2 linked regions of the Cricetulus griseus genome follow. The protein of the gene in region 1 interacts with the protein of each later gene in a pairwise test. Links are inferred from orthologs where the notes say so. Each region holds a gene or a part of one and is shown in the gene's direction. Other genes may lie near its edges. The genes, in order: creatine kinase M-type and Asb9.

Region 1 (14,869 bases):
TTTGGACTGGGAATCCCAATGGAGCGTTTATGCCGCCTCTCAGGTGTGCACATATAATCTCCACCTGGGGCCTCACGTGGAGCTTGTTGGTGTTGATTTGCAATTTCTGTGACAAAACACCACAACCAAGGCAACTTAAAAAAGAAAGCATTCATTTAGGGTTAGGGTACCGGAGGGTGAGAGCACGTGACCATCACGGCAAGGCAGGCAGGCAGGCACGGTGCTGGAACAACCAAGAGGCAGAGAGAGCTAATTGGGAATGGGGTGGATTTTTCAAACCTCAAAGCCCACCCCCAGTGACACACCTCTTCCAACAAAGCCACACCCCCCCATCCTTCCTAAACAGTCCCAGTGACTGACTGGGTACCAAGCATTCAAATGTGGCATGTGGGGACCATACTTATAAAAACCCTCACAGAGCCACTAACCATAATGGAATAAAATAATACATGTCATATGACAGGCACTGGCCCAGGTGCTTTACCTGTCCTTAAGTCCCTCCGAAGCAGTAAGCACTTCCATAGTCTCCACTCTATGGGTAAGTCAACAGTGAAGTCAAGCAAGTTGCTCAAGGCCACACAGCTTGTTGGAAGTAGCAGACCTGAGATTCAAACCCAGGCCCTCTGACTCCAGGTCCGTTGCTCTTATTATTATTATTATTTTGGTTTTTCGAGACAGGGTTTCCCTGTGGCTTGGAGGCTGTCCTGGCACTCGCTCTTGTAGACCAGGCTGGTCTCGAACTCACAGAGATCCACCTGCCTCTGCCTCCCGAGTGCTGGGATTAAAGGCGTGCAACCCCCGCGCCCCCCGTTCTTTTTATTCTTTTCATTCATTCATTTATTCAAAGGCAGGCGCTCACTCGGGAGCCCAGGCTGGCCTGGAATTCACTGTAGTTCTCCTGCCTCAGCTTCAGAGCCCTGGAATTACAGGTATGGGCTACGGAGCCCAGCCAAGGCCTGTATTCAGTCTCTCAGGGTTGAGACAAAGTCTCACCTACCTCAGGCTGGCCTCCAACTCTCCATCTAGCTAAGGATGACCTTGAACTTCTGATCCTCAGAGATTACAGGCACGAGCTGCCACGTCCGGTTTTGCTGGACACCAAATCCAGGGTCCTGTGCACGCTGGGCAAGTGCTCTGCCCACTGGGCTCCAGCCCCCAGATCCTCTGCCTTTTTTCCACGGTACTTTTCTGGCTTCAGACAAAGGGTTTCACCCTCTTTCCCTAGCAAGGTGACACAGGCAGGATGTGGCCACATCAGGCCAGCTTAGACTGGGGTTCTCAGAGAGGGAACTCCTCCTGCTTCAAGCCCACGGTCTGATGACCCAGCATCTGGGTTCTTGAATCTGAGCTCACCGTCCCCTCTACCCGTGCAGGGTCCCACAAGCCGCCACCATGCCGTTCGGCAACACTCACAACAAGTTCAAGCTGAACTACAAGCCTGAGGAGGAGTACCCAGACCTCAGCAAGCATAACAACCACATGGCCAAAGTGCTGACCCCTGACCTCTACAAGAAGCTACGAGATAAGGAGACCCCTTCTGGCTTCACTCTGGATGACGTCATCCAGACTGGGGTGGACAACCCAGGTGAGCCTACAGTGGGACAGACAGACCGGAGGGCTAGAGGCCCTGGGCAGATACCAGCCTGCCTGTCCCAGGGAGCCTCGTCTCCCGCCCACCCTCCCTTCCTTGGAATGAAATCTAGGACTTCCTGCATGCTAGGTAACTATTCTACCTCTGAGCCACGCCCTCAACCCCTCACTGGGGGATTCTAGGCAGGGGTTCTACCACTGAGCCACACCCCAGCCCCTCACTGGGGGATTCTAGGCAGGGGCTCTACCACTGAGCCACACCCCAGCCCCTCACTGGGGGATTCTAGGCAGGGGCTCTACCACTGAGCCACACCCCAGCCCCTCACTGGGGAATTCTAGGCAGGGGCTCTACCACTGAGCCACGCCCCCAGCCCCTCACTGGGGAATTCTAGGCAGGGGCTCCACCACTGCACTGCAGTCCACACCCATGAAAGGATCCTTCAAGCCTCTTACCTGGATCCTCTGTGGAAGTGGATTGTTTGAGCTCAACATTTTTGGCTGAGATGCTACATCCGGGGACTTCAAGAAGCCCCAACATCTTGGGCCCCATTTACCTGGTGCCTGCGATGGCTCTTTTACCCATATTGAACACCTATAGCTGTCACAAGCCTAAGCTCCCGGTGCTGACGTCAGCCCCACCCCGCAGGTCACCCCTTCATCATGACGGTGGGCTGTGTGGCCGGTGATGAGGAGTCCTACACAGTCTTCAAGGACCTGTTTGACCCCATCATCCAGGACCGCCACGGCGGCTACAAACCCACAGACAAGCATAAGACCGACCTCAACCACGAGAACCTCAAGGTCAGTGGCCCCAAGAAGCGGGGTAGGCACAGAGATGGGGAGACAAATAGAGATGGGGGGACAGACTGAGAAGCAGACTCCCAGGAAAATGTCCCGAGGGCAGGTGGGGGTGGTGGCCAGTGAGGCTGGGTGGGGCACAGGAGGAGTTCAGTGTCAACTGGGGACCTGGAAGGATCTAGGGGAGCTCTAAGGAGCCCTGGGGAGACCCCAGAAGACATGGGGGACAGCCAGGAGGACTGGGGATACTCTGGAAGGTTTGCAGCAAGGCTCATGGAGGATCTGGAGTGAGAGCCCCACGAGGTTCTTGGGGAGACCAGGGCTGGCCAGGTCTGCCTTCCCTGACACCCCAGCGTTCCCCCAGGGCGGAGACGACCTGGACCCCAACTATGTGCTGAGCAGCCGCGTGCGCACTGGCCGCAGCATCAAGGGCTACACGCTGCCCCCGCACTGCTCCCGCGGAGAGCGCCGCGCTGTGGAGAAGCTGTCTGTGGAAGGTGAGGTCCCCAACAGCTGCACCCGGGTCCCCTTCGGGCTGCATTACCTGTGCTCCAGGTTTGGGGGCACTGAGGCAGGCAGCCTGGGAGGTCCTGCACTCAGCCACCCAGGGTCTTCAAACTCGTTGCTCGCACGCTACCCATTGACTCATTCGGCGATCCATTCATTCATTCAGCAAACATTGTTGGAGCTGAGATTTCTCAGAATGGGTGAGGCAACAAGGTTACGAATCTGAAAAGTGGGGTTGAGAACCAACAGAGTTGCTCCTGCTAGGTGGCCTAAGCCTGGCACCCTTACGCTTGTAATCCCAGTACTTTGAAGACTGAGGCAGGAGGATCACCGTGAACTGAAGACCAGCCTGGATTCATAGTGAAACTCTGCCTCAAAACCAAGAAACCAGGCCAGGAGGTGATGGCACACTCCTTTGATCCCAGCACTGGGATGGCAGAGGCAGGAGGATCTTTGTGAGTTCAAGGCCAGCCTGGTCTACAGAGTGAGTTCCAGGACAGTCAGGGGTACACAGAGAAACCCTGTCTTGAAACCCCTCCTTAAAAAAAACCAAAACAAAATGAAGAAATCAAAGCAAACAATAACAAATTTTGCAACTGCATGCTCCCCGCTCCCCTGGTTTTTCAAGACAGGGTTTCTCTGTGTGGCTTTTGGAGCCTATCCTGGAACTCGCTCTTGTAGATCAGGCTGGTCTCGAACTCAGAGATCCGCCTGCCTCTGCCTCTCGAGTGCTGGGATTAAAGGCATGTGCCATGGCCACCTGGCACAAATTTCTCTTTTGTTTCATTGAGACAGAGACTCCCTGAGTCTCCCTCCAACTAGTAATCCTCCTGCCTCAGCCTCCCAAATGCTGGGATTAAAAGTGTGTGCCCTTAGCCGGCACAAAGTGTAAATTCTATAATGGCCTCTCTTAAAAAATATTTTTTGAGGTAGGGTCTCTCTACATAGACCTGACTGTCCTGAAACTCACTATGTAGGTCAGGCTGGCCTCAAAGTTACAGTGATCCACCTGCCTCTGCTTCCCAGTCCTGTAGTGGCCATTCTGAGAGTGGCCCTCTGTGATTAAGTCACACACGGTGGGTTTGAGGTCAGTGTAGGCTACACGATGAGATCCAGTCTCAGAAACAAAAACAATGAGAGCTGTGTTCAGGAATCACACTCTCCTGCAGGTGGACTGGGTGGGAGGTTCTGCTCTATGTCCTGGGGACAGGGACATACAGGTGACAGGGACATACAGGGGACAGGGATATACAGGGGACAGGGACATACAGGGGACAGGGACATACAGGGGACAGGGACACACAGAGGACAGGGATATACAGGGGACAGGGACATACAGGGGACAGGGACATACAGGGGACAGGGACATACAGGGGACAGGGACATACAGGGGACAGGGACATACAGGGGACAGGGACATACAGGGGACAGGGACACACAGGGGACAGGGACATACAGGGGACAGGGACACACAGGGGACAGGGACATACAGGGGACAGGGACATACAGGGACAGGGACATACAGGGGACAGGGACATACAGGGGACAGGGACATACAGGGGACAGGGACACACAGAGGACAGGGACACACAGGGGACAGGGACATACAGGGGACAGGGACATACAGGGACAGGGACATACAGGGACAGGGACATACAGGGGACAGGGACATACAGGGGACAGGGACACACAGGGGACAGGGACACACAGGGGACAGGGACACACAGGGGACAGGGACACACAGGGGACAGGGACACACAGGGGACAGGGACATACAGGGACAGGGACATACAGGGGACAGGGACATACAGGGGACAGGGACATACAGGGGACAGGGACACACAGGGGACAGGGACACACAGGGGACAGGGACACACAGGGGACAGGGACATACAGGGGACAGGGACATACAGGGGACAGGGACATACAGGGGACAGGGACATACAGGGGACAGGGACATACAGGGGACAGGGACATACAGGGGGCATGGACATGGGGGGGAGCGTCCATGAATTCTTGGAAGAGGACATGTATTTGGGTTTAGACGTGGAGTGTAGTGGTTTGGAGACCTCTTTGATGCCCAGGCCCAGGGTGTCGGGGGCAGCAATGTGGGGTTCTCCAGGCTTGGTACCCCCAGCTGAAGTCAGGCAGGATACTGATTGCTCCCCTGTGGCCCCTCAGCTCTCAACAGCCTGACAGGCGAATTCAAGGGCAAGTACTACCCTCTGAAGAGCATGACAGAACAGGAACAGCAGCAGCTCATTGACGACCACTTCCTGTTTGACAAGCCCGTGTCCCCTCTGCTGCTGGCCTCAGGCATGGCCCGGGACTGGCCCGACGCCCGTGGCATCTGGTGAGTCCTTCCCTGGCTCCTCCAACCCTTCTCCATGGCGAGAGTCCATGACCTTGCCTTCCAGCCCTGCACAGCCCTGGTCAGGTGTCATAGTTTAGAAAACCTGGGTCAGAGAGGCACTGTGAGGAATTGACACTAGCCAGGCCTAGCTGCAAAGGCCTCTTGTTCCTGCTACTGGGGAGGCCTTGGAGGAAAGTTTCAAGCTTAGAGCCAGCCAGACTACAGTGAGTTTGAAGCCAGACTGGGTCTCAAGTAAAAACTGAAAAGAAGCCAGTGGTGGTGCACGCCTTTAATCCCAGCACTCCGGAGGCAGAGGCAGGTGACTCTCTGCAAGTTCAAGGCCAGCCTGGTCTACAGAGCTAGTTCTAGGACAGCCAGAGCTACACAAAGGCACCCTGTCTCAAAAAAACCAAACCAAACCAAATCAAAAACCTGAAAAGAGTTGGAGTGGTGTACAGCTCAGTGGCAGAGCCCCTGTCTAGACTCACCCAGTGAGGGGCTGGGGGTGTGGCTCAGTGGTAGAGCCCCTGCCTAGAATCCCCCAGTGAGGGGCTGGGGGTGTGGCTCAGTGGTAGAGCCCCTGCCTAGAATCCCCCCAGTGAGGGGCTGGGGGCGTGGCTCAGTGGTGGAGCATCTGACTGGCATAGGGCCCAGATTTAATCCTCAGTATGGTAAAGAAAACAAAATAAAATGTTTATATTTGAACCACTCCCTCAGTTCGAATCTCAGCTCTGTTACTAGGTGTGTACGACCCTACATACCTGTAGCAACAGCTACTCCAGCAGCCTTAAGCAGGAAGATCACTAGATGACAGGGATCATTTTGGTCAGTAAAGGCCATTTTTACCAAAATCCATTGTACAACAAAATACATGTATGAAAAGACGAAAATAATAATAATAATTTAAAAGTTGAAGACGGCTGCAATCTCCGAATCCTGGAATTCGAAACTTGAGATCAGAAGGGATAAACATTGTGGATGTGACCTTGGGGTCGCAGGAGGGACATTGCCACTGTATCCCACGCTGGCCTCAAACTCACTCTGTTGCCCAGCTTGGCCTCACGCTCCAGATAGTCCTGCCTCAGCCTTCTGGGTGCCAAGACAGCAGGCTGGTGCCCGGAAGTCAGGGAGTCAAGCTAAGGCGGGAGTGACTGGGAATCCAGTGCACCTCTTTCCCTTCCCCGGTGCCCAGAGGAAGGGACTGCGTTGGAGTGCGGTTGCTTTCCTGGGCCTTGGGCGTCCTGCTGACGTTTAGGCCTCCGGTTGCCCCTTGTTAGGCACAACGACAACAAAAGCTTCCTGGTGTGGGTGAACGAGGAGGACCACCTCCGCGTGATCTCCATGGAGAAGGGGGGCAACATGAAGGAGGTTTTCCGCCGCTTCTGCGTGGGCCTGCAGAAGGTGGGTGTCCGCCCTCCGCGCTCACTGGGGCTGCATCCTGACCGCTCTGTAAAGCTACATCCTTCCTAGACCCAGCCCGCCCTTCCAATCCACCACGCCAGTGCCTAAGACTCCTTTCCTTCCTCCCACCAAACCCCCCACTGCTTTTCCCACCCACTTTCCAATCTCTGCCTCTTACATTCATACATACACACACATATGCATACACACATGCATAGACACGCATGCACACCATGTATATACACACACGCGCACACACGCATGCACACACATATACACATAGGCATACACACACTCATGCACGTACACACACGCATAGACACATACATACATACACACATGCACACACACAGTCATATACACACGCATAGACACATACATACATACACACATGCACACAGTCATACACACACACATAGACACATACATACATACACACATGCACACGCACAGTCATATACACACGCATAGACACATACATACATACACACATGCACACACACATACATACACAGAGTCCTACACACAGGCACACACACGCATGCACACACATACACACATAGGCATACACACACTCATGTACGTAACATACGCATAGACATATACATACATACACACATGCACACAGTCATACACACACACATAGACACATACATACACACATGCACACAGAGTCATACACACACGCATGCACACACATACACACAAGCGCACACGTAGGCATACACACACTCATGCACGTACACATAGACACATACATAATACACACATGCACACACAGTCATATACATACGCATAGACACATACATACATACACACATGCACACACAGAGTCATACACACACGCGCACACACACGCATGCACACACATACACACAAGCGCACACATAGAATACACACACTCATGCACGTACACACACGCATAGACACATACATACACACATGCACACAGTCATATACACACACATAGACACATACATACATACACACATGCACACACAGAGTCATACACACACGCACGCGCACACACACGCATGCACACACATACACACAAACGCACACATAGGCATACACACACTCATGCACGTATACACACATGCATAGACACATACTTACACACATGCACACACACAGTCATATACACACGCATAGACACATAATACATACACATGCACACAGTCATACACACACACACACAGACACATACATACACACATGCACACAGTCATACACACACACACACAGACACATACATACACACATGCACACAGTCATATACACACACATATATAGACACATACATACACACACACATGCATACAGTCATACACGCATGCTCGCACACACACACACATGCATACAAACAGCCATACACACGCATGCTCTCACGCGCGCGCACACACACACACACGCATACTCACAGACAAAGCAAGCTCTGCTCTTTCTGATTCCACCCTACCCATTTCCCCCCGAGAAGGTCCGAACCCTTCGCCACACTCAGACACCCCTACTCCAAGCTACCTACATTCCAATCCCAGCCCATGCCTGAGCCCCGCCTTTCAGTACCACCTCACGCGTTTCCGAAGCCCCGCCCCTCCCCCATCTAAGCCCCACCCCCCCCCAGGGTCTGAAGCCCGCCCCCACCTCTGCGGGAGTCCTCTCTCCAGAGCTCCTCCGGCCGGTGCTCCACTCCCCCCTGCTGGAAACCCCACCCGCACCTATACCCTGACACCTGGCCCCTCAGACACCTCCTGGCAGGCTGCATTGGGACCCCAACCCCTGGTGCCCTCCCTCTGCCCTCCCCAGATTGAGGAGATCTTCAAGAAGGCTGGGCACCCCTTCATGTGGAACGAGCACCTGGGCTACGTGCTCACCTGCCCCTCCAACCTGGGCACCGGGCTGCGCGGAGGCGTGCACGTGAAGCTGGCCAACCTGAGCAAACACGCCAAGTTCGAGGAGATTCTCACCCGCCTGCGCTTGCAGAAGCGTGGCACAGGTGCGGCCCGCCCGCGATGTCTGCGGAGGGGGAGGAGGGGGAGGGGAGGGAGAGGAGGGGGAAGGGGGGAGGAGGGGAAGGAGGGGAGAGGAGGGGAGGGGGAGGAGGGATGGAGAGGAGGGGCAGGGGGAGGAGGGAGGAGGGGAGGAGGAGGGGGGAGGGGGAGGAGGGGGAGGAGGGGGAGGAGGGGGAGGCGGCATCCCGGCCAGTTCCCGGCTCAAAGCTATTTGATGTGCATTTTATATCCGTTCCTGACTCTCCCCTGGGGCCTCCGATTCTGTCTGTAAATAGAGGGAGGTCAATTGGACCACAGGCAGCCACTTTTAACTAGCATTCTCTCTCTCCTCTCTGTCTGTCTCTCTGTCTCTCTGTCTCTGTTTATCTCTGTCTGTCTCTCTGTCTCTGTCTGTCTGTCTCTCTGTCTCTGTCTGTCTCTCTGTCTCTCTCTCTCTGTCTGTCTCTCTGTCGTCTCTGTCTGTCTCTGTCTGTCTGTCTCTCTGTCTCTCTCTGTCTGTCTCTCTGTCTCTGTCTGTCTCTCTGTCGTCTCTGTCTGTCTGTCTGTCTCTCTGTCTCTGTCTCTCTCTTTCTCACACACACACACTCATGCATACGGAGACACAGTCTCACCTTGGAGCTATGGTTGGTCTGAAACTTGCTTTTACGTCCAGTCTGGCCTCGAAATCTCAAAGTTACAGAACCCGCTCTATAGTAGACCAGGCTGGTCTGGAACTCACAGAGCTCCTCCTGCTTCTGCCTCCCGAGTGCTGGGATCACAGGCGTGCCCGGCATTTTTTTTTTTTTTTTTTTTAAGATTTATTATATATACAGTATTCTGTCTGCATGTAAGCCTGCAGGCCAGCAGAGGGCACCAGATCTCATAACGGATGGCTGTGAGCCACCATGTGGGTGCTGGGAACTGAACTCAGGACCTCTGGAAGAGCCGTCGGTGCTGTTAACCTCTGGGCCATCTCTCCAGCCCGTGCCCGGCGTATTTTAAAAATGAAATGCATTTATCCGAGAGAGAGAGAGAGAGAGAGAGAGAGAGAGAGAGAGAGGAGAGAGAGAGAGAGAGAGAGAGAGAGAGAGAGAGAGAGCATTCCCATGGTGCGGAGGAGGTCAGAGGACAAGCCTGCTCTCCCCTTCCACCACGTGGGTCCTGGGAACTGAACTCGGGTCGTCGGGGGTCTGCGGTCGTGGCTCCGGCTGTCACTCTGGATGCTTGAGCGCGCGCGGACCGCTCCGGGAAACCCGGGCTGGGGAGCCGGGGGGCGGGGGGGTGCAGGGCGGCGGGCTCCCGTCCCGCGGCTCCCGCAGGTGGGCACGGGCGTCGCTGCGCCTCTGCGCGCCGCTCACGCCTCGGTGGCCCCGGGGGACCCGTGCTCCGTCCCGCGCAGGTGGCGTGGACACCGCGGCCGTGGGCGCCGTGTTCGACATCTCCAACGCCGATCGGCTGGGCTCCTCCGAGGTGGAGCAGGTGCAGCTGGTGGTGGACGGCGTGAAGCTCATGGTGGAGATGGAGAAGAAGCTGGAGAAGGGCCAGCCCATCGACGACATGATCCCCGCGCAGAAGTAGGCGCCGCCGCCGCTGCGCTCCCCGCCTCTGGCTTCTGGCCAATGAGAAACCGCCTCTCCGGAGCCCCGCCCACCAGCCTGAGCACCGCCTGGGCGAGCGCAGCGGGAGACCCCGCTGCTCCCCGAGCCCCCCCAGTCTCAAATAAAATCCCGTGGTGGCCTTAGCTTGGAGTGCGACAGCTACTGAGGGGACAGGGAGCGGGGAGCGGGGACCTCGGCATCCAGCCACCATGGCTTGCATCTCACGCGGCTCACTGGCTTCCTGTCTTCGGGCCTCTCTAGCTGCCAGTTTGTTTTTTTTTTTTTGTTTTTTTGTTTGTTTTTGGAGACAGGGTTTCTCTGTGGCTTTGGAGCCTGTCCTGGAACTCGCTCTGTAGACCAGGCTGGCCTCGAACTCACAGAGATCCGCCTGACTCTGCCTCCCGAGTGCTGGGATTAAAGGCGTGCGCCACCAACGGCCCGGCCAGCTGCCAGGTTTTTGTTGTTGCCCTTTTGAGAATGCCTCTCATGCACCCAGGCTGGCCTCGGATTCCCTGTGTAGCTGAGGATGGCCTTGGATTTTTTTCTTTTTTTAAAGATTTTATTTATTTCTTATGTATGCAACATTCTGCTTCCATGTCTAACTGCACACCAGAAGAGGGCACCAGATCTCATAACGGATGGCTGTGAGCCACCATGTGGTTACTGGGAATTGAACTCAGGACCTCTGGAAGAGCAGTCGGTGCTCTTCACCTCTGAGCCATCTCTGCAGCCACGGCCTTGGATTTCAAATCCTCCTGATTCTACTGGGGTTAGAGGAGTGCACCACCACCATGCTTGGCTCGCGCGCGCGCGCGCGCGCGCGCGCGCGCGTGTGTGTGTGTGTGTGTGTGTGTGTGTGTGTGTGTTATATGCACTTACTACATAGCCCAGGCTGGCCTCAAACTTGCATTATTTACCCCCTGCCTCAGCCTCCTGAATCCTGGGATGGCAGGCAGACCCCACCATGCTCAGCAGAGATGGCAGGCAGTAGAGGCAGCTCACAAGGTGAAGAGTGCTAGGGGCACTAGCCAGATGGTGGGAGATTGATCCCAGAGCCCGTGTCAAGAAGGAAAGAACCAACTCCCCACACTGAGTTGTCTAGACAAAGGTGTTCCTTCCATATACACAAATGTAGTGGAAAAACCAGCAAACATACCTCAGTTCCCGTCTGTGGCTGCTGCTCCTTCAAGGTCAGGGTCTCATGTAGCCCAAGTTGGCTTCTAACTCACTATAGATCCGAGAATAACCTTGACATTTTTGTTGATTTTTTTTTTTTTTTGAGACAGGGTTTCCCTGTGTGGCATGGGAACCTATCCTGGCACTCACTCTTGTAGACCAGGCTGGCCTCAAACTCACAGAGATCCGCCTGCCTCTGCCTCCAGAGTGCTGGGATTAAAGGCGTGCGCCACCAACGCCCGGCAAGCCATCTTTTTTTTTTTTTTTTTTTTTAGATTTTTATTATGTATACAACATTCTGCTTCCATGTCTATCTGCACACCAGAAGAGGGCACCAGATCTCATAACGGATGGTTGGGAGCCACCATGTGGTTGCTGGGAATTGAACTCAGGACCTCTGGAAGAGTAGTCGGTGCTCTTAACCTCTGAGCCATCTCTCCAGCCCCCCAGCCATCTTTCTTTAAGACCTGGTCTTGCTATTTGTCACTGCCTTCCCTTGGACTTTTGGCAATCCTCCTGCCTCAGCCTCCTGAGTGCTGGGATTATAGGCTGCTGCTACTGTAGCCCAGCTCTAAGGGCTTTCAACCTATGTCCTTTTGTTTTGAGACAGTCTCTGTGACAACTCAGATGCGGTTACAGATGCGTGGCACACTGCCGCGTAGCTTTTGGGTTGTCTTCAGGCAGGGCCTCAGGTTGCCCAGACTGATCTCCAATGCTATGTAGCCAAGGCTGGCTTTGAACTCTTGATCCTCTAGCCTCTGCCTCCCAAATTCTGGGATTATAGGGCACTCATGTGTAGGCCAGGCTAGCCTCAAACTGACATAGATCCAGCTGCAGCTACCTCCTTATCTGCTGGGGCTTAGGGGTGAGCTGGCATGCCTGGCACGATAATGGACTTCTGTTACTCTCAGTTCAGATACTTGCCCCCCAAATGCCTTCTGGTCCTTTCCTGGGAATAAAGATCCCAACCCTAAGGACTTCCTAGTGAAGGTCCAACCAGCACCATCCACCGGGAGGCAGAAACTCAGGCAGAGATGTAGCCAAGGTGGAAATGGCTAAGTGTGGAGAGCAAGAGTCAAAGGTCATTTGGTAGCAGGTTTGTCTGGCATGTAGGAAGCCCTGGATGGGGTCCCCAGCACAGGTATGGTGGCGTACACCTATAATCCCAGTATTCAGGGGGTGAAAAACAAATTAGAAGTTCAAGGTCAGCCAGGTGTGGTGGTGCCCACCTTTTACTCCAGTACTTGGACGGCAGAGGCAGAAAGATCTGTGTGAGTTCAAGACTAGCCTGGTCTACATAGTAAGTTCCAGGACAGCCATGACTATGTAGAAAGACCTTGTCTCAAAAACAAAATAACAAGCCAGTCGTTGGTGGCGCACGCCTGTAATTCCAGCACTCGGGTCTACAGAGTGAGTGCCAGGATAGGCTCCAAAATTAAAGGCGTACACTACTACCACTCACGGCCATTATTGAAGACAAAGAATTACTGAGTTTAGTCTGTCTGTCCCGTGTCTGCTTTGCCTCCTGACCCACCCACCACCCAGCTTCCATGTGGACAGTCTCACCAGGGCTCCCTGCTGGAAAAGAATAAATACCCCAGCCAGGCCTCTTCTGGGATGCAGGTCCCACGAAGGCAGGGCTGTGGCTGTTCCCCATACAATACACTATTGGCAAGTGAAAGGCTAGCCTGGGCTACACAATGAGATGAGCCTGATGCTTTCAAGTGTCAAAAGACAAATACTACTTTGGTTAGGTTGGGGACAACTGGCAAGACTTAATTTAGGGCTCCAGGGCAAAGCCATTGGCACTGGCAGGTTTCTGTGAAAACATTTTTTGTGGGGTTGTTTCATGTATCCCAGCATGGCCCATATCTTGCCTCCAACACACACATGCTGGGATCACAGGCCAGACACACAGACATCTTTTTCCAGACAGGGTTTTCCTGTGGAACCCTGTCTGTCCTGGAACTTGATCTGTAGACCAGGCTGGCCTCTGCCTCCTGAGTGCTGGGGTTAAGACCATGCACCACCACTACCAATACAAGTGATTTTTTGCAGAATAAGAATGGAATTTGGGGCCCACTAGGCAAGCACTGTACCAACTGAGCCACAGCTACAAGCCACAGAATTTCTTCCCAAGGCCTCCTTTTCCTGTGGCCTGTACAGGGCTCTCGTTACCTCCAGCCCCTCCCCCACAGACGGGCTCTGTACTCGTGTCCAGAACTGGGCCAGCGTGGAGTGGGCACCAGTCATTGAGTGTTTATTGAATACATGTGTTACTGAAGGAAGAAGGTTTCAGTCCAGTGTAATTCGGCAGAGGGGAGAGAGTGGCCAAGAGGAGGGTTTGACAGAACACCCGGGCCTCACAGAGGAGGCTGAACTCTGTTCTGCCCTCTTCCATAGCCATCCTTGACCCTCCAACCCCACTTTCCCATTCTGCAGATGGGATAACCAAGGCTCAGCAAGCAGAACCACAGGTTGGGGTCAAGTCCCCAGCTCCCTGGCTCACCTGCAGGCCAAGGGCCGGGAAGGAAAACCCCAGATCGGCCAGGGAGGGGTTTGGGGGCCAGAGGGACTCTCCTACTATTTATTGGGTAACAGGCTGCAGATGAGGAGCTGACAGAAGGGGGGTGGGCAATAACTTAAAAACCAGAGGTGACAGCGGCAGCTCCCCAAGAGACCTCTGCAGAGGGACAGGAGTATATACAGGGGTTTGTACAAAGTGCCCTGCGCCAGCCTGGGGCAGGAAGGGAGTTCGAGCATAAAGGGGAGGGAGGGGAAGGTTTCTGCCTGTGACCCCCCACTCCCTGCACCCCAAGTTCTGTCTCCCTGAATGGGAGAATTTCTTCACTTTCCCTTCTCACTCCTGTCTCCAAAGTCTCCTCAGTCTCCCTGCAGTAGAGCAAGGTGCGGGGTGTGGCACTAGAGGCCCAGGAGGGTGCCACCAGCTCCCACTGCGGAACCTTATTTTATCTCCGTGATAGCCAAGAGGACTGCCTGCCTCCGTCCACCTATCTAACATGGGGAAACTGAGGTCAAGATACGGGGCACCCCCTCCTCTGTCCTCCTCCCCTCTTGGGTAAGTGGAAGGGACCAGAGAAAGAGGAAGGGACCCAGGCTGTGATGGTGGCTGTGGCGGTGGCGGTGGTGGTGTTGGTGGCTCAGAGTTCGAGGTCGTTGGAGATGCGGGTGACGAGGGTGCGGAAGGCCAGGGCGGTGCCTGCCACTCGGCGGAAGAGGACGCCCCTGAGGCCGGGCCGGGGCAGCTGGCACACCTCTACTTCGAAATGGGACAGGGGCTCGGGCCCGCCCGCACCCCCGTGCAGGCAGGCCAGCAGGAACGGCTGCGGCTGACGGCACCGGCAGCGGGCAGCTGCGGTGGCTTGTCGCAGGGCAGCCATCAGGGCCTCGGGAGGACGAGAGCTGGTCAGCTTCACACTCCAGGGGAATCGGAG
Region 2 (15,206 bases), on another chromosome or scaffold:
AGCTTCGCCATGAATTTTCCCACTTGCTACAGGGTGAATGGTGTAGCTTACACAAATGGGAGAACATTAAGAATGAAAATCAAACACAGGCAGAAGATTTGAGGTGAAAGCACTATTTAGTGAAAATTTCACCATTTAGTGAAAGCACTAAAATGAACAAATGATAATGGCAATAGTAAAATAGCGAGTGTCATGTTGTAAAGTCCATGGTGATACTTGGGAAGGAATAAATTCAGTAAGTTAAGTTCTTCTGGTGTCAGGGCACAGGGAGCCATGTTTTGAAGAGCCATCATGTCCAGATGGGATTTGAGGTTCTGGAGGAAGGGAAGCTACAGGCTCTTCCTTCCCTGTAAACATCAGAGTGGGGATGGAGAAAGACTGTCAAGAGCATTGGGGCTGCTCATTTACAAGTATATTATGGCAAATCTCCCAGAACACTTTCCCAGGCTGTGGATCTGAGCCCCTGTGCACTGGGGTGTAAGCACAGAATGACTTGATATCTCAAAATGTGTGACCCTGCTGATCAGAAGGTAAAAGCCAAAAGCCCAGGATGATTAATGGCTGGCCCACTCATAAATGCCCATAGAAGTAGAAAACTACGTGTCGGGACTAATGGAAAGTAAGACCATTTATTGAAACAATTTTGGGCAATTTTATACTATTCCAGGAAGAAACATTATAATACATATTTGAGTCATTGATTAAATTAGCCATGAATAAGGACTAGGGAGACATCTCACTGGATAAGAGCATTTGCTATGCAAATATGAGGAACTGAGTTCAGATCTCTAGAACCCATGAGAAAAGCTTGGTTGGTCACATGGACCTGCAACCTCAGCACTGTAGGGGGTAGGGAGGGAAGAGACAGAAGGATTACTGGGACTTTTGGACTCCAGGTTCAGTGAAAGACCCTGTCGCTAGGGGATAATCAGGGTTGTGATAAAGTAGGAAACATGCACCAGAACACGTGTGTGTGTGTGTGTGTGTGTGTGTGTGTGTGTGTGTGTGTGTGTGTGTGTCTACATCATATTTGCACACCTACACATGTAACCACACATGTACACACACACACACACACACAATTCCAAAAAACCCAGCATATATGGATTAAAAAGTACTTTTATTGTATCCGTGTCTCCCAGGACAATGTGCTCTAAGATGGGGGTGGAGCTGAGGCTGTAGAGCTGCTCCTAGATTTCTTCACATGTTTTTCTGGAATTGGGCTCATGGTCTACTATCTCTTGGACTATACATTTCCCCAGAGGGTGATGGATCCTGAGGCTAAACTTTCAGATTTCTTTGCATTTCCAGACTTCAGGGGCCTGGTGTGGGAGTGAAATTGTCCCTTTGACTTGGGACCTTTTATCTACGGAGTTTTACCTATTGCTTTGGTTATGTATCCTTTGGCCCACATCACTTGCTGTGTAAAAAAATGCTCCAAAGTTAGCAACATGAAGCAACACACATGTGGCTTTTTTACAGACTTTGTCAGGGTTTACACAATATTTTGCTGGTGTCAGTACTCTGCAGTCATCCTAAGGCTTGAGTAACTGAAGATCTGTATCCAAGCTCAAGAACCAACTAAGTTGTTGGACTGAGGGTCTCACTTCCTGACTGGTTGCTGGGTGGGGGCCACCCTTGTTTTCTTATCAAGGACTTCACTAGGATAGGTCAAGAAGTGATGCCAACACTAAAGTGAGTGAGCCAAATAAAAGTTGTTTAATCTTGGAAACAACCTTTTATCATCTTTGTATATTTTCTTAATTAGAAGCAAAGCTTGGTCTGAATGTAGCTCTGAGGTAGAGTAGTGGCTTAGCATATGCAAAAAGATGAGGAGGAGGAAGAGAGAAGGAGAAGGGGAAGAGAGAGAGAGAGTGGAAGGGAGGAGGAAGAGTATGGAAGAACAGTTGAGGGGGGAGAGAGGTAGGACAGGAGGAGGAAGAGAGAGGAAGAACAATGGAAGAGCCCAGGAGGAAGAGAGAAGAAAGAGGGAAGGATGGAGGAGGAGGAGGAAAAGGAAGAAAGAAGAGGAGGAAGCAGCAGCATCAGCAGATACCTCATTAAAGGGGAGTCAAGTCCACAGGCCATTACTACCAGGAGACAAGACTCACTGGAGGGCTTCCAAGTCACACCCACATGAGCCAGGCAAGCAGAGGCTCATGGATGCTTCCCCTCACTACCCTGTCTCAGTAAGTTCTTGGTGAAGCCAGTGTTAAATCAAGCAGAGCGGCAAGTATTTTATCAATTGAACTACCTCCCTAGATGCCTAGGCAATCTGTCTCTTGAGTGCATATAATGAAGAGTGAAATTATTGAGTTGCTGGCTTCAGTAGATCCTGGAAAAGTCATTTCTTTTGTGGTTATCTTATATTAGGCTCTCAATTGTACCCTGTGATGGGCTGTTTTTCTTGTCTTTTTGTTTTTATGCTACAGTGAATGTCTACTAAAGTAGACATTTTTTTTTTTTACCTGACCATATGATTTAACTTTTCAGAGAATACACACAGTTCTTGAACTATATAGCTGAAAACCAGCCTGATTGTCTTCTCCCCCATTTTGAGCCATTTTCTCTTCTTGTAGGGATGGCCTGTAAACATCATCACGGCCGATCATGTGTCTCCACTCCATGAAGCGTGTCTGAGAGGACATTTTTCTTGTGCAAGTGTTTTACTGAGTCATGGAGCTCAGGTAAGTGAAGCTTAAATAATAGAAACAAACAGTATCAAAAAAATCAAAACTGGCTATTTGTTTCCCTCTGAATAATTTCCAGTACCTTTGATTAGTCTGATTTGAAATGTACTTTTCAAGAGTATTATGCCTAAGTGCATGTGCTTTGCCAAGAGGTGAAATACTTCCTTTTTTACCTAGAAAGTTATATTAGTTACTTTCCTGTTGCTGTGATAAAACACCATGACCAGAAGTAACTCAGGGATGGAAGAATTTATTTGGGCTCGTGGTTCCAGAGGAATAAGTGTCCATGATGCAGAGGCATGACTGCAAGCAGCAGGCACCACAGCAGAAGTGGGAAGCTCAGAGCTCATATCTTCAAAACCAAACAGGAAGCAGAAAAAGGAAGTGGTTCAAATGGTTCAAGGACAGACTTCCTCCAGCAAGGCCACAGCATCACCTCAAATGGTCTCACCAACTAGGGACTAAGTGTTCAAATACCAGAGCCTATGGAGGGCTTGTCTTCTCTTTTTTCTGAGACAGGGACTCTGTGTAGCCTTGGCTGTCCTGGATTTCACTTTGTACACCAGGCTGGCCTCCAACTTAGAGATTCCCCTGCCTCTGCCTCCCAAGTGCTGGGATTAAAGGTGTGCATCACCACCTTCTGGCCTATGGGGGTATTTCTAATTCAAACCACCACAAAAATCATGTTTAGAGTCTGAAGCATTTTCCTTATCAGACAGCATTAATAAGTAGTGTTTCATAATTGTAAGCTCTCTACCTACATGTCTCTGGGTAACAGGGAATGAAATGCTGCAGAAAAGGTGAGAGATTCAACTAGGGATGGTCAGCATGTCAGAATAAGAACATCTCTGAAATCTCTCATTCTGTATTTGTTCAAAGGAGAGCAGGGATTGCAAGGGCAGCAAAAGAAGGCAGGCTCTTCTCTTGTTTCACATTTGTTATTGTCATATTGGCAGAGTAAGCCACAGAAGCAATCCCAGATTCAGGTATTGGAAAAATAGCCTCCATCTTGTGATGGGAATGGCTGACGTGCCATATTGTAACGGAATTCGCACTGTGGGATAGAAAGAGCCTCTGGCCAGTTTGCAAACTAACAAGGCGTCATAGGATTAACAGGGATTATTGGGAGCACATAGAAGTGTTCATCTATTTCCAGTGGGTCAATCAAAAGGGACTTTCTTCAGGAAATGATGTCTAATCTAAAAGAGAAGGAACCAGTCAGCCAAATGGTGAAATAAAGGAAGGTAAAGACTTCTAATGCGAGAGACACAACTGACCCAAAAGCCTGGAAGTAAAATTGGCCAAATTTTGCCAACCGTGTTTATGGCAGGAGAATAGTTGGGTGAGAAGGTTTCTTTTGAGTTATGATGAAAACAGGGCCAAGGCTAAGGGGAGGCAAAATAGGCAACTGGGATGGAAACGTTAAAGAAACAGTCACTCTGTGGTCCTGTGGCACTATGGGAACTCCAGAGTGAGCATCTCCTGTATGTTTTTTAGGTCTGGGCCTTCCTTGGGAAGAGGGTGTGGTAGTGAATTCGGTTTTTTCCCCACAATATCTTCATTTAACAGATACATCAGAGTATATGACAAGATAGAAAAGTCCGTGTATGTCTGGGCTTGCTATCTAGTGTTTGTAGCCCAAGCATAATGATATGGATCTTAGTTTGTAAACTTCTGTGACAGTTCTAACATAAGAAAAAAATCTCCAGAATCTATAATTTTACAGTCTTGTTAACCAGTTGTATATCTGTTTGCCAGCATATTTAAGTAGCATATTGACAGACTGTATAAATACTTCTTTGATCCGACCCTACCATCTTACCACTCCTCTGGTTAGTGAATGAATTGAATAAATTCTTTGGTGTGTGAATCATATTTGCATGAGAATCAAACCTTTAAGTAAAAAAAAAATAGTCTTTTTAAAAAATCAATTTTAGCTTACTCTGGCTACTGTCTAGGATGGATGTTTAAAATGGAAACGTTAATTTGTAAGCTATGCTACGGAAATTATCGTAACTAGTTTTAAAGTTCATGATCCCAAGGAAGGCAGGGAGGAGATGGAATCTTCAATAACGTTATGACTGCCTTGTATTTTATACTTCATTTGCTTTTTTAATGACAGTTTGGTGGTCCTCATTTTATATAAGAAGATGGACCTTAAGGCTCAAGAGAAGTTAAAAAACCCTTTGAAAGTGAGAGGGTTAACCTTGAGTTCAATCCACATCAGTCACTGTCTTCATCCTGGAGTTGGGTTTTCTTCACAGGTGAATGGCATAGCCATAGACTGGAGAACACCCTTGTATAATGCCTGCCTCGGTGGCAACCACGATTGCGTGACTCTCCTTCTGGATCATGGAGCAGCTCCCCATCCTGAGAGTGATCTGGCCTCTCCCATCCACGAGGCTGCAAAGAGAGGTAAATCCATCTGGAATGTGAGGGTTTTTACCCAGTCCTTCGAGGACACTCTTACTACTGAAATGGGAAAGAAGAGGGACATTTTAGTGCAATAGTTTTCAAAGGGCGCCTGGTAGTAGGAGCGTCCATATGACCAGGCTTGTGAAGAAAGACTCGGAGGCTCTGCTCTAGCCCTGTTTAATCCAAATATCTCCAGGGTGTTCTGATCCACAGTTAAGTTTGAGAAGCACCCTTTCAGAGATATATTTTCATAACAAGGGATGGTACGTACTAGACTACACTATGGATCTTTGTGGAATACTTGATCCCATAGAAATCAAGGGTTTTTGTTAGTCCATAATTAATTGTATGAAGCAAAAGGATTCATACTAACATTTTCATTCAAGGCTATCATGTATCTCAATCATATTCAACCCTCAGTCATATTCAATCATATTCATTTCTCTCTCTTGCCTGTCTTTCTCTTCCCAAGTAGACCCCCTTCTACTTTTATGGTGTGTGTGTGTGTGTGTGTGTGTGTGTGTGTGTGTGTGTGTGTGTGTATGTGTGTTTGAACACACATATATAATCTAGGTTCCACATATGAGTGATTGTATATTTTGTATTTGTCTTTCTGGGTTTGCCTTATTTTGCTTAGTATGGTGATCTCCAATTACACTCATTTTCATGTGAACAATATAATCCCATTCTTTATGTCACAACAAAACTCTGTGTTATACATTTACCATAATTTTTTATCCATTCAGCTACTAATGGAGAACTGGGCTAATTCCATATCATTGACTATTGTGGTACATTGGCTCAGGTTCCTTTAGTATATACCCAGTAGTGTTGGTACAGCCAAGTTGTCTGGTAATTTCACTGCAGTTTATCTGGGAGACCTCCATAATGATTTCCATTGTGGGTATCCTAGTTTACATCCCCACCTACAGTGGATAAGGGTCCCTTACCAGCATTTGTTGTGTGCTTTACAAAACAATCATTTTCTATTTTAGGGTATCAACAGTGGCTTGGGGTCATCTAATTTTGAAAAGTGAAACATATTTTCAGCTTGAGGAAATCTATAAGACTTTTTATCAGTTCAGGGATGATCTTAGTTTTTTTTCCTGTTGCCATGCTAAAATACTCTGACCTCTGATGGAAGCAACTTAAGGGAGAAAGGACTGATTTTAGCTTACAGTTCTAAGTACAGCCTATCACGGTGGGGAATTCAAGGCAGTGGGAGCATGAAGCAGCTGGTCATGTGGCATCTCCAACCAGGAAGTGGAGAATGATGGATACACACATGATGCTTAGCTTGATTTCTCCTGCCCAGGCAATGGTCCCACCTACAGTTAAGATGAGTCTCAAATACTAATTAACAGTAATCAAGCTAATCCTTCAGAGAAATTCTCAGAGGCCAACCTTAATCTAGATAATTCCTCACAAGTGTGCCTGGATGCTTGCCTTCTAGCTGATTCTAGATTCTGTCAAGTTAACAGTTGTCACAAGAGGGTAAATCTTTCTATAAAGTACAGTTTGAATTTTTGCTTTTCTCTGGTGTTTAGCATCACCTGCATGTCTATACTTTGCTGGAGGGCTTTCTGTTTCCCCAGGGCCTTTCTAGAATGGCTTTGCATTCAACCAGACCAACCAATGTTGTAATTAACTGGGAAATCATTGTGGTTTCTTTATGAAGAGCCATATTAACTCAACATGTTTACTGGATACATACAATTAAAATGGTTCAACATGAGACCCCAAAGGGTGGTGTTTAAAATATGGCATTCTGGGCCAAGGCAGAGTGAATCTACTTTGAACAAACTTCGTTTGCCAGACTGGGCCTTGCTCCCATGGGATTTGGCAGTGTTTAAGATTTGCTTGTGCTTATTGTGGCCTATTCCTCCAGCCTTTGCAGGCTGTAAGCTTCCTGCCCTGTCCTGTGATACATTCCATGTCTTTCTTCAGGACCATTTTTAGTCCTGTTGCTCCATGGCTCTTACAAGCACACAAACAATTGATAAAGGTGAGTGGATGCTGGTTGGTTTCTATGGCTAGTGAATGCAGGTGCTGTTCCATCTGCAGCTGTGGATGTTGATGGTTGGATCCTGTTCTTTGGCTGACCCTCCTTTCGTTTTGATGAACCAAGGCAAAAGCCTGATTCTCCTCTTCATGGAATGGCTGGGTGAGCTGACCTAATGGACTTTTGAACAGACATTTACTCTGATGCCAGTGTTTAAAATTATTTTCCATTTTAAGTAAAAGAATATGGCTTTTATCTCCTGAGCAAATTGAGAACATGGGAAGAGGGGGGAGGAAGCTATGAGAGTGAGAAGGGAAGAAAAGGAAGGATGCAGAGGTCATGAGGAAGCAGAAATTTTGAATCAGGTGTAGATTAGAAGAAAGGACATATGATAGGTAGGATTTTAGTTGGGGGGGTGGTAGAGGAGGAAGGGAGGGAGAAGGGAACTGGGTTCATCATGTAATTCAATCTTGTTTGTAATTCACATATATAAAAAAATAAAAAACAAAAACAAACAAAGAATATGGCTTTTGATTGCTGGATGTGTTGGGGATTCATTTAAACACACAAAAATAGGGACTTTTGTTTAGGGAATTTGTGCAGTAACCCTTTTCTTCTTTTTTGGACTGTAGGTCATGTGAAATGCATCGAGTCCCTTGCAGATTATGGTGCCAATATTGACTATAACATCAGCCACCTGGGTACTCCTCTATATATCGCTTGCAAAAACCAGCAGCTAGCCTGCGCCAAGAAGCTTCTGGAGTTAGGTAAGGCAAAACAGCAAAACAAAATAAGGCATGAAAATGAAAAGCAAATTAAGTGAATCTTGAAGATCCTGGTGTCATACTAAAGGGAAGAGTGTGAGCAAGGGGCTTGAGACATACATTGTCCTCATGAGGAGTTGTTTTACACCATTCACACTTGTGTTTTCTCACTTCTAACTAGCATGACAATGAAGAAGAAGGTGATGATGTATACCACCCATGCCTTCTTCCAGGGTGGTCCTCATTTATCACTAGTTGATCTATCCTTTACTCTGCCTCTCTCTAGCTGGGCAATCGTGATTCAGCTCTACAAAGCTTGCAAAGCCAATGGGTTTTAGCTGACTCTTCCGATTTGGGACTATCTTCCGTGTTTCTTTCTGATTAGGAAATTAGTCCGCCATAAACATTATCCTTTCCATGAAGAGATGTTCTATCATTCCATATCTCCCTACAGCTGTCCCTTCTTCTCAACACTGGGAACACTGTTCCAACTCTTTAATTTTCTGAATTCTGTTCTTCCTTTAAGACTCCAGAGTCATTCCCCCCACACTGACTGTTCTTGTGTTCCCTATTTCTTTTCTTATTCACCATTTTCTCTGCCACTCTCACTCCTTCCTATTACTACTTTTAGGTAGATTTTAAGCTTTGAGATATTTAAATCTGTTATCCAGGACAGGGCCGTCTTTGGCATCTCTCACAAAGTAAAAAAAAATTATTTAAAAACAATTCAATGAATGTTTGTTGCTTGGGCATCGGTTTTTGTGGAGGGACATCCGCTCAGGTGAAAGTCTGAGCCTGAATATACCTCAGTGAGAAGCAGACTCTGAGCTGGGATGGGGTTTTATTTAGAGGGTAACTAGAGTTTGGTGGGGATAGCCCCAGAAATCCACCTTCCTCCTAAAGAGAACTTGCAACCCTTCCTGTGATAACAGGATCCATTTTTCCAACTTAGGAAAAATGCCCCCTTAATTGGTTGTGTTTAATGATCCAGCTCACACAGTCGCAAGTCCCGTGGCTTTAAATGCAGTGCTGGCTGCTCAGTGTATGAATCTGGCTTCATGATGTACACAGTGTAAGTCTTTACTAGTACTTACACTGCATTAATAATGAATATGCAACTTTCATGCTACTCAGATATTTCTTGATTGTATTATGCCCATGAAGAGTACTCTGTGTCGAGTTGGTACCTCCATATGTTACACAGCTCACATTGTACTTTCAGTCACATTGTCAAATACTATTTTCCTTTTATTATATTTGTGTAAGAGTGTGCATGTTTATGTGGGGAGGGTTGTGTGTGTGTGTGTGTGTGTGTGTGTGTGTGTGTGTGTGTGTGTGTGTGTGTGTGTGTGTGTGTGTGTTTATGCTCACCTGGAGGCCAGAGGTCAACCTTAACCATCCAGCTTAATGTTCAGAGCTCATGCTCTCACTAGGACCTGGAACTCAATGATTAAGCTCAGCTGGCTTCAAGGGTCTTCCAGTCCCCACTCCTCAGCATGCTAGGACCACAAGCATGTGCTTCCACACTCACAGTTTTCTCTGGGTGGTGGGGATTCAACACAGATTCTCATACTTGGATGGCAAGCACTTTGCCAACAGAGCTGTATATCCAGTGCCCAGTTTCCCTGTTACTATAGTAAATGATATAAAGTCAGACCAGTTCACAATCTCACAGAATCATGTTCATCATGGATTCCCCATTTTAAACACTTTTGACACTCCATGTTTTGTTCTTGTGACCATTTAGGAGCATCTGTGAATAAAGGCAAAGGCTTGGAATCCCCTCTTCATGTAGTGGCCAGGATGTCTTTTGGGGAGCTGGTATACCTACTGATGGACTTCGGAGCAAATGTTCAAGCTAGGAACGCTGAAGGAAAACGTCCTGTGGACTTGGTGCCTCGGGAGAGTCCTGTGACTGAGATCTTCTTGGAGAGAGAAGGTGCCTCTCCTTTGCCCAAATCTCAGCTCTAACTCCTAAGACTTCTTTGATCTTTAGTAGGAGGCAGGCATTTCCTAAGTTCTGACTTCCAGTCCTGGAAAAGATTGCTCTCTGCCATCACCATGCATGGGGAACCTGAGATAATTCCATAGGGCACAACACTGTTTATGAAGTAAATAGCCTGTTGTTGTTGAATATGTTGGAATCAGGCTGTTAGGCCAGTTTTTAAGGAGGTCAGGCTATTGTTAAAAAGTATTTGATATTTAAGTTAACCGAAGCATGCTTTAGAGTAGTGGTTCTCAACCTTCCTAAAGCTTTGACCCTTTAAAATAGTTCCTCATGTTGTTGTGACCCCCAACCATGAAATTATGTTGCCACTACTTCGTAACTGTAATTTTGCTACTGTTATGAATTGTAATGTAAATATCTGTGTTTTCTGATGAACTTAAGTGACCTCTTGAAAGGGTCATTCTACCCCTACAGAGTTCGTGACCCACAGAGTGAGAACCACTCCTTTACAGTAATTCAGCAGAAGCCTTCTAGGCATTGTCTGATTCCCCAAGATGTCTAACTGCTCCATACATCAGCCAAACCTAGGAGTAATTGATTGCTGGGATTAAGATGAAGCTAACTGAGAGTTTAGGGTATTTGTTTAATGATTCACACCAATCAAGATACATTTACTCTTGCAAATTATGTACACTCCTCCATAAATAAGACCTCACACTGCTCTTCCAAATAACTACACAGTGGTATGCACAGGAGAAGGGGCATTTCTTAGAGCAAAGAGTCCTTTTAGGTTGTGAGGATACCTGATTGCATTGTCAGTTGTTCCTGAAGGCAATTCAGTACCTGCATTCTTACCAGAGTGTTGATTGTGCTGTTTTTGGACTATGGGACTCTGAAGCAGGTCTCCATACCTGAAGGACTCTGATGTCAATAAACTGGTTATTTTCTACCCACATGCTGAGAAGTAGGCCTGAAGTTGGGCAGAATGATAAAGTGGGCCAAAGACTTCCTCCTACTCCCACTGCCCCAGGGCAATTGCCCATCTTGCAGTTGCCTGCACTCTTTAGCATTGCAGCACAGGCTAAGGAAGACTGATGTAGGCGGAAGGAATCAACTAGAGGCCTCTTTCTGTTAAACAGTTGGATAATCATTGGGCATTTCTGCCTGCATTTTGAAGATTTCTTGTTTTAAAAAAGTCCTATGTATACACACAGGGTCACTTTCTCTTATAGTCTCTCAGAGCCCACAGAAATATTTTAATTAATTCTTATTAAAACAAGAAGGAAGATGAATAAATCCTAACCAGAATTATATTCATCTTTATACTTACATAGCTATAAAATGTTTTAATATTTTTTATTGGAAATGTGTTACCCAGAGGCAGCTGTGCCTCAGGGTCCTTTGAAGTCACACAGTGGGATGAGTCATAAGATTTTCAGATTGTTTTCACTGATATTTTCCTTTTTAAATTTTTTGAGACAGGGTCTATCTGTGTAGCCCTGGCTGTCTTTGAACTTGCTATGTAGATCAGGCTAGACTTGAACTCGCAGAGATATCCTTGCCTCTGCCTTACTGTTGGGATTGAAGGTGTGCACCATCATGCCCAGCTTGGTGTTTTCTTTCTACTCTATTCCCCAGAGCTATTCATAGAGACCTACGTTATCCTTAATTTCCTCATTTCACACTTGGAATGATGACAGTAGGCCTATGATCCTACTGGTTTAGGGGTACAGCATGGCAGTGAAGCACACCCTTGCTACAATGAAAGGTGCTACATTCCATCCTAAGGACCCCAAACCAACAAAATATAATTTGCCACAGAAGAAAATCACCTCCATTTTGCCTTCATGAGTCACTTTTAGGATTCTGATGAGGCCACTTCTTAGCAGGACAGTAGGCCACCAGAAACAGTTCCATGCAAGCACAAAGTTAGAGCTGCAGATATAACACACCAGTTTCTTTTTCTGACGCTGGGTCTCCTTGCTGATTCAGCTTACCTGACTCTCTGTGCTCAGGGAGGCAACTTAATTAAATCACTGTCCTTCCAGGGTGTGGGGACTGGGGAATATAAGCTGAACTTAACTGTGCTCTGAGTTGGCTTGGCATGGAAGTTAGGGAAGGTGGGGATCTCACTTTTCTTGGAAGCCAAGGGAAAGGATTTCAGGAGTCACACCCTCCAGCACTGGCACATACATGTTGCTCCCTAAGTATACACTGTGAAGTGTGCTGGTCTATGCCTTGAACATAGTCTGAAAGGTGCCCCGACTTCGAGCTGTACCTTCTAGAAAGTGCTGTCAGGGCTCTAGCTGGAGCTTACATTTTTTTGACTGTTTGTTTTCACTTCTTGTGTTCCATCACTTGAGAGACCCATAACTAAGTTCATCTGGAGCTTGCAGTGAGGCTACAGGACAGTAGGGGCTGTAGTATCATTTCAATTGTAGTTTCAAGACTGATTTCACAATAAAATGACCTGGAGCCCATGGCTTTAACAAAATCTAGATGCACAGGCACAAACTAATGATAACTGAAGCAGTGTCTCTGGGCCGGGACACAGTTTAAACTTCCCCAACTCCAGCCAAATCTAAATTGCATACTAGATTGAAGGCTACTGTTTCATGCAATTATTAAGGGTATATAGTTTTCTTTAAAAAATAGCAAAAATAATTTCCATTTTAATTTGGTACAAAGAGTGGGGGTGGGGATGGGTGATTATACTTCCCTTTTATTCTATAATAGGGGTTCTAAACCTTGGTACCATTGACAGTTGGAGTCATTGACAGTGCTGTGCTCCTGACTCCAGGAAGAAAATACCTCACTTTTCTTTTCCCCTACCCAGCCTGTTGAGAACCACCATCCTAAAATTTAAACTCTTGGGTTCTCTGTGCGAGTTTATGTTAGTTGAGTTTTCACCCATGAGATGAAGCTTTTGGATAACTTAGAATGCAGAACAGAAAAGGAAACACAACTAAATAACATGAACTTATGATTCATTTGGAACTTAGTATATTTGAATATCTTTAAGTTGTTAAAATTATAACATAGATGTACTTGCATCTAGAAATATGATTTAATTTTTAAGGTAAAAGACAGCACCCTGAAGCATGAATTCTATTTTTTATGATTCAAATTTTTGTGTAGCTATTTAATTTCCAAGTTAGTTTCCTTTTGCCTCTCTTAATGAGGGTAACTTTTACATTTCTTTTACTCTGTCATAAATTAAAATCCAGTGAGGGACAGAGATGGCTGAGCAGTTAAGAGTGCTTCCTGCTATTGCAAAGGATTGGGGTTCTGCTCCCAGCACCTGCATCTGGCAGCTTACAACCTCCTGTAATTCCAGCTGCAGATGATCCTGTGTCCTCTTATGGCTTCCATAGATACCCTCATGCTTGTACCCACACTCCATGTATATACATATATATAGATAAACATAAAAGTAAAGCTTAAAACATAGATTTTACTTCAGTTAAATACAGGAAAACAGAACTTGGTCTCAGAATGCCCCTTTATAGATGCACATAACAATTTCAAAGAGAACAAGGAGAGGTATACAGGAATGTTTGGTGGGAGGAAGGGGAAGGGGGAATTAATGTAACTATATTATAATCAGAAAAAAAAACAAAAAAACAAGGGAACATAGTCTTAAGCATGCAGTATTTCTGTATAAGGATATTATTATACATTGCATGATTTTAAAAGGCAGTCCTAGGTCAGCGAAGTCAATGTGTGACTTGTCCCATGCTCTTTCTCCAGGTCCTGAGTCTTTGATGCAGTTATGCCGCCTGAGAATCAGGAAATGCTTCGGCATTCGGCAGCATCATAAGATTGCTGCACTCTTCCTCCCGGAAGACCTGAAGCGCTTTCTTTTACACCTTTAGTTGTGTAAGGAGTGGATTCACAAACAACCGAAAAAGGTTGTTGAAACTTTGACCACTGGAGTTTCAAATAAACTTGTTGATAATGTTTGAATGTTTGACTAATGTTTTCTTTTACATTTTTTCCTGTTAGATCATTATTTTTAAAAATGGGAACCCACTGGGTCTTTTGTGTTACTGGTTAGAGAGTGTGAAGACTGTCCTCTGCTTAAAAATTAGCTATTGGTTTTGAACATGTCCTACTTGGCAAGAATGAAGCAAGGAACACGTTATGCATCATTTAATCGAGCCTTCATACAAACTGCCCGGGTGGGTACTATTTACTGTATTACCTTTGCTAGGTAATACACTGAAGCTCAGACTGATCAATATATCCAATTACCCAGATCAAGGACAGAGGAGCCAGATATAAACGTAAATTGGCTGCTGTTAACCTGGACAATTTTAGCTAAGCAGAATTTTATGTTCTGGCTCCATCTCCATGGTATGGAAAGGGAGACAAGAACAATGTTTCTTTGTTTGTATCTATGTATTAACCTTTTCTCACTTTATGACACAGATGTAACTGTATTAGCTATAGAAGCAAGTTTTACTCCATCCCAAATCCCATATGCACATTCAAAACATTCTAGAACCCTGCTGTGGAATATAGTAGCTACTGTTTAGGGCTTTCAGTCGTGGGTGATTTTTCAGCCCCCTGCCCCCCAACTTGGGATATTAACAATGGCTGCATGCATTTTTAGTTGTCTTTACTAAGGAGATTTGTACTACTGGGTAATCTCAGTTCATAATTTGACAGACAGCTGGACAGAGGCCAGGGTTCCCCTAACCATCACTTGCTCACAGAATAGCCCCTCACCCACAATAAAGCATTATTCAGGTCAACATGCAAATGGTGTCTAAGTTGAGAAACCCTGAAGTGCACAAAGATGGTGAATTTAAAAAAACAGAATTAATTAAATCAATGTAAAGTGAAAACTTCATCTCAGTGTCATCAGCCACATATCAAATGTGTTTATTATAACCTACTCAGGCAAAGTGGCCACTGTGCCGTATTACACAGACACACAGGAACTTATATTGGACAGTGTTCCTCAGATGGTAAGTTAACTGATTTTAACTGCTTTTCAGTTTCAGATTTACAGGAAACCTGTGATGCAGTTTAGTATGGATGGTTTTAGTTATCTCACTGAGAGATGCATTTGGGGGTTCCATTACATCATTATAAAGAAAATATTGTAACCGTTTTAAGGAAAACCGTTATGTATGAGATGACATATGTTACATATGGCCTAGAGGATTCTCCTAAAATACACCCAACATAATTTGTCTGTGATTATTAATTTAATTTGCTGTATGAAAAAGTCTAGGCTATGGTTTGAAAATTCCTAACTAATTCTTCCAGAAGATGGCGCTGTTGCCACATAATTATTCAAGCAAAAGACTCACTACTAAAAAAAATGACCAGTCACAAAATGGTTTACCACGGAGGCTCTGGAAATTTCCATTTGGGAA

The links.
Region 2: the proteins of creatine kinase M-type (region 1) and Asb9 interact in binary tests that used the Homo sapiens proteins (3 or more experiments, as listed by UniProt). The two-hybrid records come from large-scale screens. The link is inferred for Cricetulus griseus from reciprocal best matches to the Homo sapiens genes CKM and ASB9.

Annotation. Positions count from the first base shown.
Region 1 is NC_048602.1:27,930,849-27,945,717, reverse strand, and holds creatine kinase M-type, read left to right. Parts: upstream 1-1,392; coding exon 1,393-1,585; intron 1,586-2,236; coding exon 2,237-2,391; intron 2,392-2,752; coding exon 2,753-2,885; intron 2,886-5,076; coding exon 5,077-5,248; intron 5,249-6,525; coding exon 6,526-6,649; intron 6,650-8,455; coding exon 8,456-8,645; intron 8,646-10,039; coding exon 10,040-10,218; downstream 10,219-14,869. Other genes in the region: Mark4 (MAP/microtubule affinity-regulating kinase 4), read right to left, coding at 14,576-14,869. UniProt on the Homo sapiens protein: Reversibly catalyzes the transfer of phosphate between ATP and various phosphogens (e.g. creatine phosphate).
Region 2 is NC_048604.1:99,617,577-99,632,782, forward strand, and holds the end of Asb9 (ankyrin repeat and SOCS box protein 9), read left to right. Parts: intron 1-2,579; coding exon 2,580-2,687; intron 2,688-4,954; coding exon 4,955-5,105; intron 5,106-7,739; coding exon 7,740-7,874; intron 7,875-9,618; coding exon 9,619-9,810; intron 9,811-13,569; coding exon 13,570-13,694; downstream 13,695-15,206. UniProt on the Homo sapiens protein: Substrate-recognition component of a cullin-5-RING E3 ubiquitin-protein ligase complex (ECS complex, also named CRL5 complex), which mediates the ubiquitination and subsequent proteasomal degradation of target proteins.